Astyanax mexicanus: one gene and its partner. The protein of the gene in region 2 interacts with the protein of the main gene of each other region in a pairwise test. Links are inferred from orthologs where the notes say so. Each region holds a gene or a part of one and is shown on either strand. Other genes may lie near its edges.

Region 1 (7,580 bases), about 7.9 Mb from region 2:
TGAGAAATGACTGGGAAAAAAATTCTTTGTACTTGGAAATGGAAAAGTAAAACATACTAGTAAGGAAAACGGTAGCAATAGTTTCTTTCTCTCTTTTTCTTCCTTATTTTTACATATGTAACAGCACTTCATCCTCTGATTGGTCAATATCAAGAAAAATGTTGTAGGATATGCCAAAAAAAATGAATCAGCTCTGACAAAATCATCAATCAGTCAAAACTGGTCTAAATCTGTGTAGACTGATGCCATCATTAAAATCTCTGTACATATAGAACATGTGAAAGTAAACCTGTACATACCACTACTAGTAAGGATGTAGGGCTGGGTGGGGTGCACAGCAATGCAGCGGATATAATCCGAATGAGCCTCGAACATATGGACCCGTTCTAGTGTGTTGTAGTTGAAAACCCGAATCTGCATATCATCCTAAAAGACAGAGGGCAGAAAAAAAGCAATTCACACCAGGTCCAAGAAAACATCATGCCTGATATAATGAATATTGATTCATAAGCAATAGATGATATATGCATGTATTTAATGAACATATTATTATCACAACTAAACACAGCTACTACTTACTGCTCCAGTGATAACCCAGTTTTTCCTGGCCACAAACTTTGAGGCTCGTACTGGCAGGTCGCACACTTCAAACGTCTTCACCAAGGTCTACAAAACAATCAGAGAAAACTTTATATTAAAACAGTTCAATATTTTTTTCTCTAAACTACTGAAATCAGACTTGGTCAGACTGAGGTCAGACTTGAATAACATAAAGCAGAATCTTTACAGTTTGCAGTTTGTAAATAAACTGTCTACACAAAGAGGTTCGACACTTACTTGTGTTTCATGGTTCCAGACGCAGACGCTGCCGTTGTACAGACTGGCCAGCATCCATGGCTCCGTGGGATGAAGGTCCACGCTCTTGACACGGTCGGACCGAGCCGTGAGCTTGCGCTTGATGTCCAGCCTCAGAGGCTACAAGGGGGAAAATTGTTCACCCAGTTGTTAACACAAATATATTAAGAATGAAAGAATAAAGAGGACAGTTTTTACCATTATAAACAATATGCTTTTCTAAACACATATGACATGAAGTGTTCTTATACCCCAAAATGCTTACAAACGATATCATAAGAAAAGGTCTCACAATATGATAAACTAACAACATATTGTCCAGCTCTATCATGGATTATTTGTGACCAGTGCAATACCAATATGATCAGACTGCCAACACCTCCATAGCTAGGCACATATAACCACTGTTAGAGATGGACAACATATTGATAGCTTATCGTATCATGACACCTTTTTTTTTTTACCATATCAACAATACACATTTTAAGGTTATTACCTGTACTTAAAGAACACCGACCCAACTGTACTTTTCATTACAACGTGTAATAAATCATGTTTAATGGAATAATGTTCAGCACAAATTAAATAAGAATCACTATACTCTGCATGAAAAAGCTGTTGGGTCAGTGTTCTTTAAGTACTGGTGATAACCTCAATATGCTTACTGTGGATATGACAGAAACATGTATTTCGATAGGAGCAGTATAGAATAGGATACATGTATTGATACATGTAATGAAATATAGCCTCTCTCTACGTTATTATTGTGTTATTACCCTATGGCGAAATGTTAAAACATGGAAAAAATGAACACTTAAGAAAGGTTAACTAGTTTAGTTAAATATAACCTGCTTACATGCAGCTCTGGGAAAAAATGAGAGACCTCTTTATAATGGTGAGTTTCTTTGATTTTACCAAATTGAAAACCTCAAGAGGAAGACGGATAATCACAAGCCAACAAACCAAGCTGAACTGATTGAATATTTGCACCAGGAGTGGCATTAAAAAGCAGTGTGTAAAACTGGTGGAGGAGAACATGCCAAGATGCATAAAAACTGTGATTAAAAAAACAGGGTAATTTCGCCAGATTTTGATTTCTGAACTTCTAAAACTTTATGAATATGAACCTGTTTTTTCTGCATCGTTTTTGTTATTTCAGCCATATCTTATTTTCTGCAAAATGCTCTAAATGACAGTAACTTATATTTATAGAATAAAACAACAATGTTAATTTCACTTAAACATATAACTATAAATAGAAAAATCAGAGAAACTAATTCGGCAACTTAAGTGGTTTCAATTTTTTCCAGAGCTGTATATAGTTTGCAAACTATACGTTTTTACAAATACAACGTTAAAACATTAAGTTAATAGTTAGTTTAAATAGTTTAGATGTTAGCTAGCTTAGCAAACCACCACGTCATTAATGTCAACTCTCTCAGCTTCTCTTAAGCTAGTTTAGTCGGGTTAGCTTTGACTTTAGCAAGCTAAGCTAACTCTGCAGCTCAATATTTAATATCACGGCAACCTGCAGTTTAATTAGCTCACTAAATAACTTCATATTTATAGTTAATCGTCTCAACATCACAAAACTTCAACATCTGGACTCAGAGAGCTAACGCTAGCTAATTATTAAAGCTAACTGTGAGAGATAGCTAGCGAGCTAATGCTAGTTAGCCGGGCAGCCAGCTAGCTTGCGTTCAATGGGATAAATATTGGAATTAGCATTGAAGCTAACTAGCTTCAAATTCGTTGTTTAACCAGGTTCACAGCCGAAAAGACAGTTAGGTTACAAATTGAAGCCTTTGAAGTTGTTATTAGTACGTTTTTAAAAAGGAAAACGCCCAAATTATAGCATTATTTCGTTCACAGACTGAATACATGGTCAGCTAACTATCTTAGCTAACTTGGCTAGCGTTTACGCTACGTTGCTCAGTCTGTGTATGTGGCCTTTAGCTCCGCTAGCTTAGCATCGCTAACTAAACCTAAAGCTAAACTCAGCTGCGGGAGATCTGCGCTCTGACAGACTGCATCAACGCGCTGTGTATAACTTAACCGGAGCGGAGCTGCTGTACTCACCATTCTGCTGCTTTTAGTGGGTTTTCGCTCTTTCTAATCGCAGATCTGCTGCTGCTGCTGTATCCGCAGCTCACTAAAGCTCCAGCTGGACACACACACTCCCTCACACACACACACAGTAAGATACACACACTCTCATCTGACGTGGAACTTCCTCAAACGTGTGGTGGGAGCCGATGACGCGACACATGGAGGACTGAGGAGATCCAGAGCAGAAACTACAGTCCTGCACAACTCTGAATGGTAAAGGATGAATTTAACCCTTTCAGACCCTGTATCCATTACAGTGGGCATAATTTAACCACACTACCTCCATTACATACCAACTAAAAGACTCTACTTTCTATAAGACTCTACTTTCTGTTTTGAAACGTCTGTGTACTATGTATACCTGCTACTGAGTGTGGAGTATTTCCATCTGGGATCAATAAAGCATCTATCTATCTGTCTGTCTGTCTGTCTGTCAAAATGTTAAATTGTTCAAAATATTTGAGAGCTGTTGTTCATCAGAATAGATCATGAGCCAGCCAATTAAAACATTTATAAACCAATGAAACAGGAAAAAATACTACTAGACCCATTGAGGCAAAGAAACAGCTCATTTTACTTATTTAATCACTTTTTTACTTATGCTTTTTTAATTATTTAGGGATGATTTATGAAATAAAAAAGGTCAATATGAGATATACAATACTACACACAGTCTTTCAATACAATGTAAAAAAAATATATATATATTGTAGTTAATTTTATTTATTTGCTGTTAAATTTAGTAGAAAATTAGTAGAGTAGTCTTCTTTTCTGTGCTCTACAGACAAAAAACAGCATTCTTACATTTTTTTTTCCATCACTGTGGATAATCCAGGTCTGAAAGGGATAATAAACTTCATCAAAGCTATACAGGAATGCATGTGAAATTGTATAGTAAACATAAAGTCTTAAACAAACCTAAATATGTTTAATACTTCACTTTAGATTCTTCTAAGTAGCCACATTTAACTTCTTTTGGTATTTTAATCTCAGTGACTTTATGAGGTAGAGTCTTCTGGAATAGTTTTCTCAGCATCTTGAAGGAGTTCCTGGAGGTCACCCATCTCGGTTGATCAGGTTTACATCAGGGGATTGTGGAGGACAAACACTTCTTTTGCTGTTTACTACGTAATTCTATATGTGTCCCTTAATTGCTTTGATGTCTTTAATATTAATCTACAATGTAGAAAATGAATTATGAAAATGAATGTGTGTCCAAACTTTTGACTGGGGCAGTCCTGATGAGAGCCAGTTTCATCATAACATGTTTGATGGTTTTTCGACTGCATTTAAGGATACTTTCAAAGTTTTAATTTTTTTTAGATTAACTGACCTTTATTCAAAGCAAAGTCAATTTATTTTCTTTACTTGAATAGTTGAATTGTTCTTGCTATAATATGGATTAGAACGTTACTCAAATAGGGCTATTTACTGTATACCAACTCTACCTCTTCACAACTTTACAACTGATGCTCTCAAACACATTAAGAGGTAAGAAATTCAAGCAATTAATAACTAATGACAAGTTAGTCTTAGTTATTGTCTTGTTGAAAAATACATGTAAAACACACATACAAATCCATTTGTGTTTTTATTTTGTGGTTTCTTTATTGATATAAATTGCCAATACAGTTATTTTACATTTATCATTTTTTTAGTGAGCACAGAGAGTGAACACTAACCCTGTTTCTTGAACACTTGATGACAAACAACATCTTCACAGTACAGCTCCTGCGATCATAAATGATAAAAAGGAAATGTAGTATGTTAGTGTGAGAATGCAAAATAACATAATATGTAATATACAACTTTTTTTTTCCCTGATAACAGTATGAATGGTTATTTTTTTCGTCTTTGATCATCTCATTTCTACCAAAAATATCTGGAATACTAAAATGTACTGAATGAGTGTTTTTAGAGGCCTTTTCTATTCTGTGGATCTGAATCCAGTAAAACATTTTTGTGATTTGGAAGAACATGAGATTCGCTGCATTAAATACAATTGCATGATTCAGTCATGTGACCATGGACCCGAATCTCAATGCAATGCCTTCAACATCTTATGGAATTCGTGCTACAAAATACTAAAGCTGTTTTCAATGTGAAGGCAGGTCCTATCCAGTATTACTTTACTATATATAGTCAGTGCTTGGTTAGTTGATTTGAACGATTTAAATGTGCAATTAAATGTTACCCTGTAAAACAAAGCAATTGGAGGCTCACCAAGTGCAGTTTATCTCCCTCTAGCCAGTGCTTCCATCCACGGTTGGCCTTCTCACCCTTTTGTATACACACCAATTCCTCGCCCTCCCAGGTGATCAGAGTCTGTAAAGACAAGCTCGTCAGTCAACAGTGCCGTGGCCTGTTCCTGCCCTCTCTCATTCACACTGAGCTACGTCTCCTCAAACACAGAGGCTTTGGCTCCGGTGAAGTCTGATCTGTACAGTCAAACACAATGAGACTGTGGGCATGGATAGGCATAGCAATGGTTCAATCAGTTCTTGGCCTTTCTTTAATAATCCAATATGTAAGTTTGTCTCTCTGTTGTCCTGCCCCCAACTATAAAGAGATTCTGACTGTATATGTGTCTGAATGTGACTCCAAATCATGGATTAAAGAAATTCATTATATATTTGTAACAATATTGACTTTTATCCGTAAGTGATACCAAACACACAATTTATTAAATAAGAGGTTGCACTTATAAGAATAATCAGGGACAGGCAGGATCAGTAACCAAAGGACAGTGTAAACAAACAGCATACCAGAGTGAGTAGACAAGGAGATCATACACAGGAAATCCAGTATATAATTAAAAGGGCAAGGCAAAAGGGTGGTCAAATAAACAAAACAGGTAGGCAACGAGTAGGCTAACTAAACAACAAAAGGCTTTGCGAAAAAGGATGGTCAGAGATACAAAAAGGGTTGGTAACATACAGTCATGCACAAAAGAAATGTGAAGTTACCTATGGGAATAGATTAGAATAGGAAAAACAAGGGCTATTTATACTGGGGAAAGACACGTGAACTAACTAGAAGGATGACGACACAGGTGTATCCTGGGAAATGGAGTCTTTATTGAGAGAACCAGAGTCTGTGGCAGGCGGACAGACAGTAACAGGACTGACACAAATCTAGTTATCTAGCTTATTATGCTTGCTTAGACGCAGTGTAGAAATAGTGTGAATGAGTTTAAAGGTACAACATGAGGAGGTATTTAAAGCCATGTCCACATGTACTTCTTGAGTTTCTTAATTATTTCTGCAGTTTGGCCTCCCAACCACATGAAGATGCTGTTTTTGATGGAAAACTAAGCTTGGTGGAGATTTTAAAACTTTTTTTTTAGTGTTGTGTGAACAGGAAAAACAGAGCTTTAAGAAAATGCTGAAGTCATCTAGAGTAAGAAGGAACACATAATTTATCATGTAATTACTCAAAAGTGTTAAACAAACTGTCAAGCATTTAGGTGTCTCATATCTGGGGAGCTGTTAACTTGTGGTTTCTAAGGCTGGTTTTGATGTTCGTTTTTGATGTTCCGTGACTAACCTTCATTTCTTCAAGTATTTTTTCTTTACTTAGTTGAGTAGATCTTGCCATAATATTAATTAGAACATAGCCTAAATAGAGCTATTCACTGTATACCTGTAACTCTACCTCTTCACAACTTTACAACTGATGCTCTCAAACACATTAAGAGGACAAGAAATTAAAGTAATTAACTCTTGACAAGTTCAGCACAGCTGTTAACTGAAAGCTTGAATTACAGGTGACTCTACCTCATAAAGCTGACTGAGAAAATCCAGACAAGATGTGCAAAGCTGTTATCTAAGCAAAAATTAATCTAAAATATGAAACATATTGTGGTTTGTTTGACCCTTTCTTTTTGGTTTACTAAATAATTCCATATGTTTTTCTTCATAGTTTGGATGACTTTAGTATTAAGCTACAATGCAGAACATTTTAAGTGCTATTCCAAGGGAATTTTACAATATCTGGCCTTAGAGAAGCCAGATCATCATTTTAGAGCAGTATTTTATCAGATCAAACCAAATTCCCTGGGACTAAATGTCATTTAAACGGTATGTGGTGAATTCTTGAAATGAGTGTTTAATCTATTCGCTTTTGGCCCATCCAGTGCTTTGAAAATGAGTCTTATAAATCACTGCCTAGTGTACTTTTGTCTCGGTGAGTGAGTCTTGATGAATATCCTCTATTTACTTTTTTTACACGATTTCCATCACCAGAGCCGAAGACAGTGCTGGGATGGGAGCCAAGGCCGAGAGGGTGGGTAAGTGCAGGTCAAGCAAGACTTATTGCATTAAGGTAAGTGGAAAAAGACGTAAGACATTAACACCCGTTCATCACGGCCTCACCTTCACCACCCTGTTGTCAAGTCCTTTAGTGTACTCCTCGACCTCCTCGCCGATAGTGAAGCTCATCTCGTAATTCCTGAAGGTGCTGAGGGTCTTAATCGTGAACTTGTCTCCATCCTGGATAATGACCTTGGTTTGAGACAGGAGGAGGGCGATCTTGCGCGTGGCGAAATCAATGCCTGTTGAAAAGAAGGCGACACGTTTATTTTCATAAAGTTTTAAGAGTCCAGAAATCAATATTTG
Region 2 (8,327 bases):
ATCCATGGGTACTCCTGAAACAGAGAAACACAAATACAGAGGTTCAGAATGGAGCTCAAAAAACATATTAAACCTGTAATGTGATTATGATTGTTATATAAAACAGAGTATAGAGAACAACTCACATGGTGGAAGAAGGTAGTGCGGATGTAGTCCAGATGACCCAGCAGGGTGAAAAGACAGCGGCGAAGTTTATAATTCCACACCTGAGACAGACACACAGACACACACACATAGAAGGAGAGAAAGGGAGAGAGAGAGAGAGAGATCAATTGCATGTAGATATTGATCTAGAGTGCATCAAACTGTATAATGTATTTAACTACACTGTGTTCACCACATAGAGCCTGTGGTTTCACCTGGGTGTTGTTTCATTACAGACTATAAATCATCAGTTGATTTGTGTTTATCTGTGTTAGACCTTCTCTGATCATTCATTCATTTTAACAATTTTAACACTGCAGTGACCCTGAAATAATACCAGACAGCACCTTGTGATGGTGAAAGAAAGGGGTTTCTAATAAAGTGGACATTAACTCTGAAACGGTACTGCAACCCATAAAGCAGAAATTCCAGACCTTAATTTTGTAGTCGTCCCCGCCGGAAACAAACAGAGGCTGCTGTTTGTGGAAGTCAATCCCTCTGACTGGCCCTGCACAGCACAAACACACAGGTGTCACACTGCAGGCACAGATACAGTACATTCAGAGAGTAACAACTGGCAGTTTGGTCTTACCATCGTGTTCGTCAAACTTGTCAATGAGGGTGCACATGCGGTAGTCCCAAAGCTGAATGACCCCATTGTGCAAACTGGCGAGGATCCAGGGCCGCTTTGGATGGAAACTCAGCCCTGAAACAGACAATGGGTGTGAACCTATTTTAAACGAAAGATCCAGTTTTTGATTTGAAGCAAATACAGTTATGCCTTAGATGTTACAGTCTTTTTTATCAGTGGTTAATGGTAGTTACATATGTGTACTTTGCTACTGTACTTTTGAAATATTCCGGGCAAAAGTGCCGGAACCACAGCTCTGATATATCAGCTAACAGACTCCTGTGCTGACCAACACATACAGGAGTGATGTACAGAGGAAATGCCATCAACCCAAAGCCTCTGTTGCACTCTGATCCAACAACAGTTTTAATTTCAAGCAAAATATCTGTATAAATTAGGCATGCACAATGACATCAGAATCGGGTAAATATTTTAAACTGATACTTGCTGATGTAGACATTGACCATGCTACTTTACAATTTTATTTATTTTACAATTGTATTTCTTTTTATTACTTTCAATAGGTCTATGCCTTTTTTAATCTATTAATTTCAAAATGAGGATTCAAAGCTGTTATCAGTCTATGTAAGGACCAGTTAACGTAAATAATGTGAAACCAATGATGGAGACACCTTTCATTTTATTCACAGCTAAAAGATGAAATGTAAGGAAAATTAATACTACATTTGTTGCTAAAATTATACTAGGTTGTTTAGTCTCTCTGTTATAAATGTATATTTCGGGATCAACAGATATACAATACCAGTCAAAAGTTTGGACACACCTTCTCATTTAGTGTTTTTCTTCATTTATATATATTTATAACATTTCTTTTATACATTTTAGATTAATATTAACATTAAAACAATTAAGGGACACATATGAAATTATGTGTACATAGCAAACAAATAAAGTGTTTGTCCTCCACAATCCCCTGACCTAAACCTAAGTGAGCTGAACTATTGTTCAGCACCTATAGGAACTACTTCAGTACGCTTTAAAAAACTATTTAAAGTGACTCTACTTCATGAAGACACTGAGACTAAAATACCAAGAGTGTGCAGATCTGTCCTTAAAGCTAAATGTGGCTGGTTTGTAAAACATTTAATTTCACATGTTCCTGCACAGCTTTAATCTTTTCAATATTGCATTTACAATTTACAAAATAATAAGAAAGAAAACACTTTGAATGAGAAGAGGTGTGCCCAAAGATTTGACTGTTGCTGTGTATATGTATAATATTGAATATCGGTCTGAATTCTCACCTAATATTAAAAGTCTAATCGGTGCAAGTTGTGCATCTGTATTTTGAATGTTACAGAAGAAAAACACACTCAGGAATTTGATGCTAAATTTGTCATTCGAGTTAAATTCGAGAGCTCAAAAACTGAAGAAAAACTGACAAATTTGACAACTGAAAAGTTCCATACTTCACTATTAAGTGTATAAAATCTGACATCCATTTCACTTTAATTATATAGATAAATTAAACGGTAATATATTAAAGCTGTTTAATTGTACCGTGACAAGTCTCATACTTAACATTAGTTATGTAACTACAGGTTTAAGGATGCTAGAACTAGGCAGGGGAAGTTAATTAAGTTAATTAATAAAGTTAAAGTTAATTAACATAAATGCTTTTTAAGTAAATGTCGTTTTACATAAATATAAAAAACGTACCTACGTTAGTTAAAAATTATAACTGTATGCTATTTAAAATAATATTACACCAGCTGTCTTAAACTATTAACCCTTTTAACTCTAAAAACACTATAAGCTACAGAGTCTCACTGTGAAGCTAACCTGTGCTAAGCTAAAGCTATGCTAATCAGCTACCTCCTGATTCACAGGCCTCAGTGTTTGTGAATGCAGTTTAAACTCCTGATATTTCACACTATTTAAACATTTAAACAGAAAAAAGCACTTTAATAAGCCTGTGATTACCCCGATACATGTGTTTACGGGTGTTTTCTTTAGCTGTTTAGCTCGGGGTATTCTCAGTTAGCCTGTGTGATGCTAGGCCAGCTACCCGCTGCGGGTCCTGACTGAACTCACCCTTCACTCGGGCGGACTTGGTCTCGAACTTGGTCAGCATGTCGGACGGACTCTGCAGCCTCGCTGAGGGTCGGTTCACTCCAGTAAAATAATGGAATCGCCGCTAAAGCTCCGGTGTCGTAGCCGGTCTGATCCAACAGCAGCGGGCTGCTGGAGGTGCTGCGCTTCCGGAGCTGACACGTCTACACAAACCCGCTCACTCACACTCAGCTCCAGCGCTGCAGCGGAACCTCCACGTCACACTCAGTGTGGGCGAGTCCCAAATCCAGCACATGTCCCCTACCGAGGGGACTACACGGAAGAACCCTCCTTCTTCTTCTTCTTCTTGTTGTGGTTTTATTCCGGTTGGCAAACCAGCGTATTTGGTGCATTACCGCCACCTCTGGACTGGAGTGTGGATCAGGAATAGCTGACAACCCTCAAAACACACACACACACACACAAAATAAAAATAAAAATAAAAATGAAAATAAAAGGATAAAATGACTTATCCATTAATTCTTGTTAATTAATCATGTGTTTTTTTTATAGGAAAACTCACATGACCTGTGCTCAACTGCATTAAACTCTGAAAGTTAAAAGACGCCTTTTCTTTCTGTAGTTGGCTGATAAGTAGTTGCCTGTCTGTCTGGTATTTTGGACAATGAATCAAAACATGTTCTACAGTCTCCTGGCTGTCGCTGCACTCACAGGTCCCATCAACATCCTTCTTCATCTTATAAAGTGTACTTCTGAGCTTTGTGACCAAACCTCATTCTGGAGAACCTTCTTCTCTCTGTTTGTGTTTCTAGGCCTCCCCACTTCATTCTGAATGGCATGGTACTGCCTCCCTGTCTCTCCATCATTCCATATGCGTTGCCATTTACCACAGGTCCTGGCCTTGGCTACACTTTTGATCTCAGCCTTACTGTATTGCATTTCAAGCTCAACGCTGTCCTTCTTTAAGGCCTCCTTTGCTAGCTTGTCAGCCAACTCGTTGCCACTGACCCCTATGTGCGCCGGTACCCATAGAAAAACTGTAACGATTCCAGCCTTGGCCAGATTATTTGCTCTCTGCACTATATCATATATAAGGTCTGGCCTCGAATCAGACTGGCCATTCCTTATGCTCATAAGCGCTGAGCTGGAGTCAGATGCAACCACCACCTTCTGTGGCTTGTTGACCTCAACCCACCGTAGTGCCAACCATATTGCAATCAGCTCACCTGTATACACTGCCAGGTTATCATTCACTCTTTTCGCCATTACAGCCTGAACCCTTGGGATGGCATAGGCTACACCAACCTTTTCATCCATTTTAGACGCGTCTGTATAGATAACCACTGATTCGGCATAGTTTTCCCCCATGTACCACATCACGGTGCCAGACATCCCAAGTTGCAAAAGTTGATTTCAAGGAGGTTACCCAGGTTACTCAGTTTTTAGCCTACACTAGATTTACACTTCATTAAATTACTTAGTTTTCTTTATCAGTAAAAAGGGCATACACGCATTTTAACTTGGCAGTTGAATACAGGACCTTGTGTTAAAGGTCTTTAGGCCTACAAATAAGCTTTTTGAGAAAAGAGTCTTTTTGAGAATACAGGCTGTTTGTATATAGTTTGTTTGTTAAACTATTAACTTTTTTATATTTTAATTTAATAATCATATTTGTATTCTTACTTATTCCTATTTCCACTTTTGAGTATTATATTCACATCCTATGTCTAGATACTTTTTCACATAAAAGAGTTGTTGTATCAGTATAATTCTAATTTAACCAAGGTGGGGTATTGAAATTAATCACAATTAGATAATCTTTATTAATTTACATAAGCAAAGGATATTTTTTTAAAAAAATAGTATGCTTTAGTGTAAGTTTGAAGACACATGAAACATTTCTATTTTTTCCCCCCTCACACATCAATTTTAGCCAGTATCATTAGCTTAAAAAATATTAACATGTCCACCCGTTATGTTCTATTGCCCCCCCAAGCAAGTCAGTCTAGAACTAGGGCTGTGGTGCATACTATATTTACAAGGTCATTCAGGATTTTAGCAGTCTGATATATTGTTTTTTTAAGTCTGCCAGTTTTTGAAACAAAATGAGAATAGGAGATAATGCCCTGAGAAATAAACCTAGTGCCATTTAACTATTTCAACTAAATATCAAAAGAACAAATGATACACAGATTTGTCATATGCAAATGTTTATTCAGTATTGTCATTGTCTGCTGATACCTGTGCCTCTTGGATATTATAAGATTCACCATTGCACTGCCCTTTATCTGTTAGATTTTTTTTTGTAACTTTATTATTTTCCCCAGTTTTCACACTACCCCCTGTGAGGGACGATACAAAAAAGCTTAATGAACACAAACGGACAGTACAGACTGATACAAACGTGTAAAAAAAAAAAAAAAAGTAAATTAAGAATATGTTAGAGAATAAAGGCATATTTTAAAAAAATTTATATTTATCATCTACAGTTAGATGATATTCTGGGTTTGTTAGAGCACCAGCAGGCGCTAAAAATAGTTTTATACTGAAAAATTTACTCATTATGTCAACACAGAACAATATCATATGTTTAGGCATTGCAGATTAAATGAGTAAAGAATTTAAACTCCAAGTATTAACCTTTCAAACCTCTGCATGTAATTCCAGCATCAGCAACCAGTCAGCTCACAGTAGCAGTAATGCTTTAGCCTTTACTGCATAAAACCTGTTTACTACAGAAAAATGAACAAGTTTTACTCTCTTGCACATATTAAAAACAAGAATTGTTATGCTCGATTAGCTTTTTGTGCTAATAAGCACCTCCTCCTCCCCAACATTAGTAACTGATTGTTTTGTAAATTAAACTGTTAATTTCACACAGTGCATCTCATAATTTTATATTTTAGTGTATAGTATGTAATTTTTATAATAAACTTCTCCATAGAGATGAATGGTGGAGTAACAGCTCAGCACATTGTGATTTATTACTCCAGTCTGAAAGTGGAATTTCACTAATAGTGGGACATTATAAAAATGGTAATGTTGTATAAATGTAATAGTAACAAAAAGTCACAGTTTTCAAGGTTTTTTCAAATAAAAAAATTGTATTAATGAAATTGATAAAAAATTTATGCTGTGTTCCATCAGAACCAAGTTATTAAATGCAGAGTATTCTAATAAGGACCCCTGAATGTTTGACTTCTAACCCAGTCAACTCGGGTGTGATCTTATTTTCATCTCAGACATCTCAGCAGTGTTATTCTAGCAGCTCTTACTGTAAACTAAATAATCACACATCAGATACATGTCTTGACTGAATGACATTCTGGGGTCAGAGATCAACAATGTTCATTTGATTTTTCACTGAACATGTCCCTTATTTAGTTATAAAAGAAATTATCTGTTGCACACGGCTCACCAGATTACATCACATTTACAACTGAACAGAGGATCTTTTCAACTGATACAAAAACACAGAGAACCAAAGAAAATTTGATTAATGTTTTTTATTTCTTCACTGTAGTTGCGTATTCTGTTCACAGTGTAGTGGACAGGTATAACTGTGTACTGTGAGGAAAGGTTGAGCTGATTTAAGTGCGTAGGTGTTCAATGAACTCCTGAGTGTTGAGGTTATGTGCTCTTCTCTCATTGAAATCTATGCTAACAACCATATCTACATACCTTAAACTCAGCTTTCAAAATAAAAGCACAATCTTTAAGAATTTTAATTTGAACATTCCCCCATTATCTGAGGTACAATGGTAGATAAATATCATTAAACACAACTCAGAGCTGAATCAGAGCATAATCATCTGTAAAATTACACTTTTACAATGAACTGGTATTAACAGGTTTGTAATGGAAGCAGGGTGTGTGTATTAATTCATCCCTACAGTATTTGCAGCATTTTAGTATACAGGTAATTACAATAGACAATATGGGTTTTCTATCGTTAAAGAAAAGCCATTTAGTCAAACAATGCTTACAGTAGAAGTCAATGGCTATGTAAGGGGGTGCTTTATTCTTTTTTGCTGCATGTTTAGGAAATGATTAATTACCAGACACAAATTTAGGTATTAAAGTCAAATAATAATAATAATAATAATATTTAATCAAAAATACTTATAATGGACAGCAATGGAACACAATTTTAGCATGGTCCCACTTGCTTCTATAATAAGTCAGATTCAAAGCAACATTGTTAAAATTATATTAGTCTGAGATAATCAATCATTTGCTACAAATAAAGCAGATTAGGATGAACATCTTTAAAGCATCTGCTCACTGAACCCTATTATAAGTGAGTTTTAGATAAATGGTTTTCTGTTCTTATCCAGGCTCATGTTGAAATGATTGTCTGTAGTAATTGACCGTATGCTACTGCTAATGCTACTGTACAGATTTCACTTTTAAAACCACTGGATTATACCTTTAATATTGCAAAAATGCCTAATATGTCCACTTGTAAAGAATTTCAGAAGGCAAAACAGATCAGACGCATCACTTCTATCCACTTTTAGATGATCAAAACATCATCCAGCATACAATTCACTGTAATCAGACAAAAGGAAAATACACAAGGCTACCTAAACCATGCTAATCAGGCTCACTCAGGGAGAAAAGTGAAAACCACTTAATTTTAAAGGCTGAAATATTAAGAAAATCAGTTTTGGTCACTGATTAATTATGAAAAAGAAACGGAACAATGATTCAGCATGTTTAAAAAAAATAAACATGCTGAAAATATAATGTATAAAAATTATTAACCATTTAAATTACAGCTTATTAATTTCGCAGTTGCTATAATTATTGATCCAGTGTCCCTCCTTGGAGTCACACTTTAAAATCCCATTCGCTCACCTCCCACGGTGTTCTCATCTCTATCTTTAACGGAACAGGCACGCGGTTCTAGCTGCTCGACTTGTCATCAGGTGAAAAAGTGCAAAATTAGTTACTATGAGCAAGTTGAACCACCAGAGTAAACCCCACCCTCACCCGCAGAAAGAATGTTACTGGGCTGCTCCAGCGTGACTACAGGGAACGAAGAGTGAGCAGAGGAGGGGGAGGCAGGTTTAGGGTTTGATGGGTGCAAACACACACACACATACAAACACTGCAGCCTCACATCACTGAACACTGATCAGCCCCGGCCGCACCCAGACCTCCGGGCAGGTGCAGTGACTCCGGGTCAAAGTTCAAACCAGGTGGCTAAGGAGACACAAAACATACACATTACATAGATCAGCATGAGAAAGGATGTATTAAAGTATAGTTCAGTAACAGAAAAGAAAATAAATTACCCCACCATAACTACAACACAAGACAACAAAATGTTTAAATAAAAGATCTAAGGTCCTAATCTGTCTATTACTTTATCCCATAAAGTCCACGTGTGCTGATCTACAGTACTTGGCCTGTGGCCTCGTGCCTACAACCGCAGCACAGCAGCGCCAATACTACAGGTTATAGCACTCCCTCTTGTGTATTACTGCTTAATTACAATTTTAATCATAAATGT

What was found. The genes of interacting proteins can lie anywhere in the genome.
Region 1: the proteins of copa (region 2) and copb2 interact in a two-hybrid assay, tested with the Homo sapiens proteins (2 studies listed by BioGRID, with this or other methods). The link is inferred for Astyanax mexicanus from reciprocal best matches to the Homo sapiens genes COPA and COPB2.

The regions. Positions count from the first base shown.
Region 1 is NC_064415.1:52,356,250-52,363,829, forward strand, and holds the start of copb2 (coatomer subunit beta'), read right to left. Parts: upstream 3,090-7,580; 5' UTR 2,938-3,089; coding exon 2,935-2,937; intron 976-2,934; coding exon 838-975; intron 667-837; coding exon 580-666; intron 427-579; coding exon 300-426; intron 1-299. Other genes in the region: rbp2b (retinol-binding protein 2b), read right to left, coding at 4,642-4,695, 5,188-5,289, 7,338-7,516. UniProt on the Homo sapiens protein: The coatomer is a cytosolic protein complex that binds to dilysine motifs and reversibly associates with Golgi non-clathrin-coated vesicles, which further mediate biosynthetic protein transport from the ER, via the Golgi up to the trans Golgi network.
Region 2 is NC_064415.1:44,436,028-44,444,354, reverse strand, and holds the start of copa (coatomer subunit alpha), read right to left. Parts: upstream 3,049-8,327; 5' UTR 2,871-3,048; coding exon 2,831-2,870; intron 851-2,830; coding exon 737-850; intron 653-736; coding exon 579-652; intron 207-578; coding exon 126-206; intron 15-125; coding exon 1-14. Other genes in the region: pex19 (peroxisomal biogenesis factor 19), read right to left, coding at 7,931-8,017. UniProt on the Homo sapiens protein: The coatomer is a cytosolic protein complex that binds to dilysine motifs and reversibly associates with Golgi non-clathrin-coated vesicles, which further mediate biosynthetic protein transport from the ER, via the Golgi up to the trans Golgi network.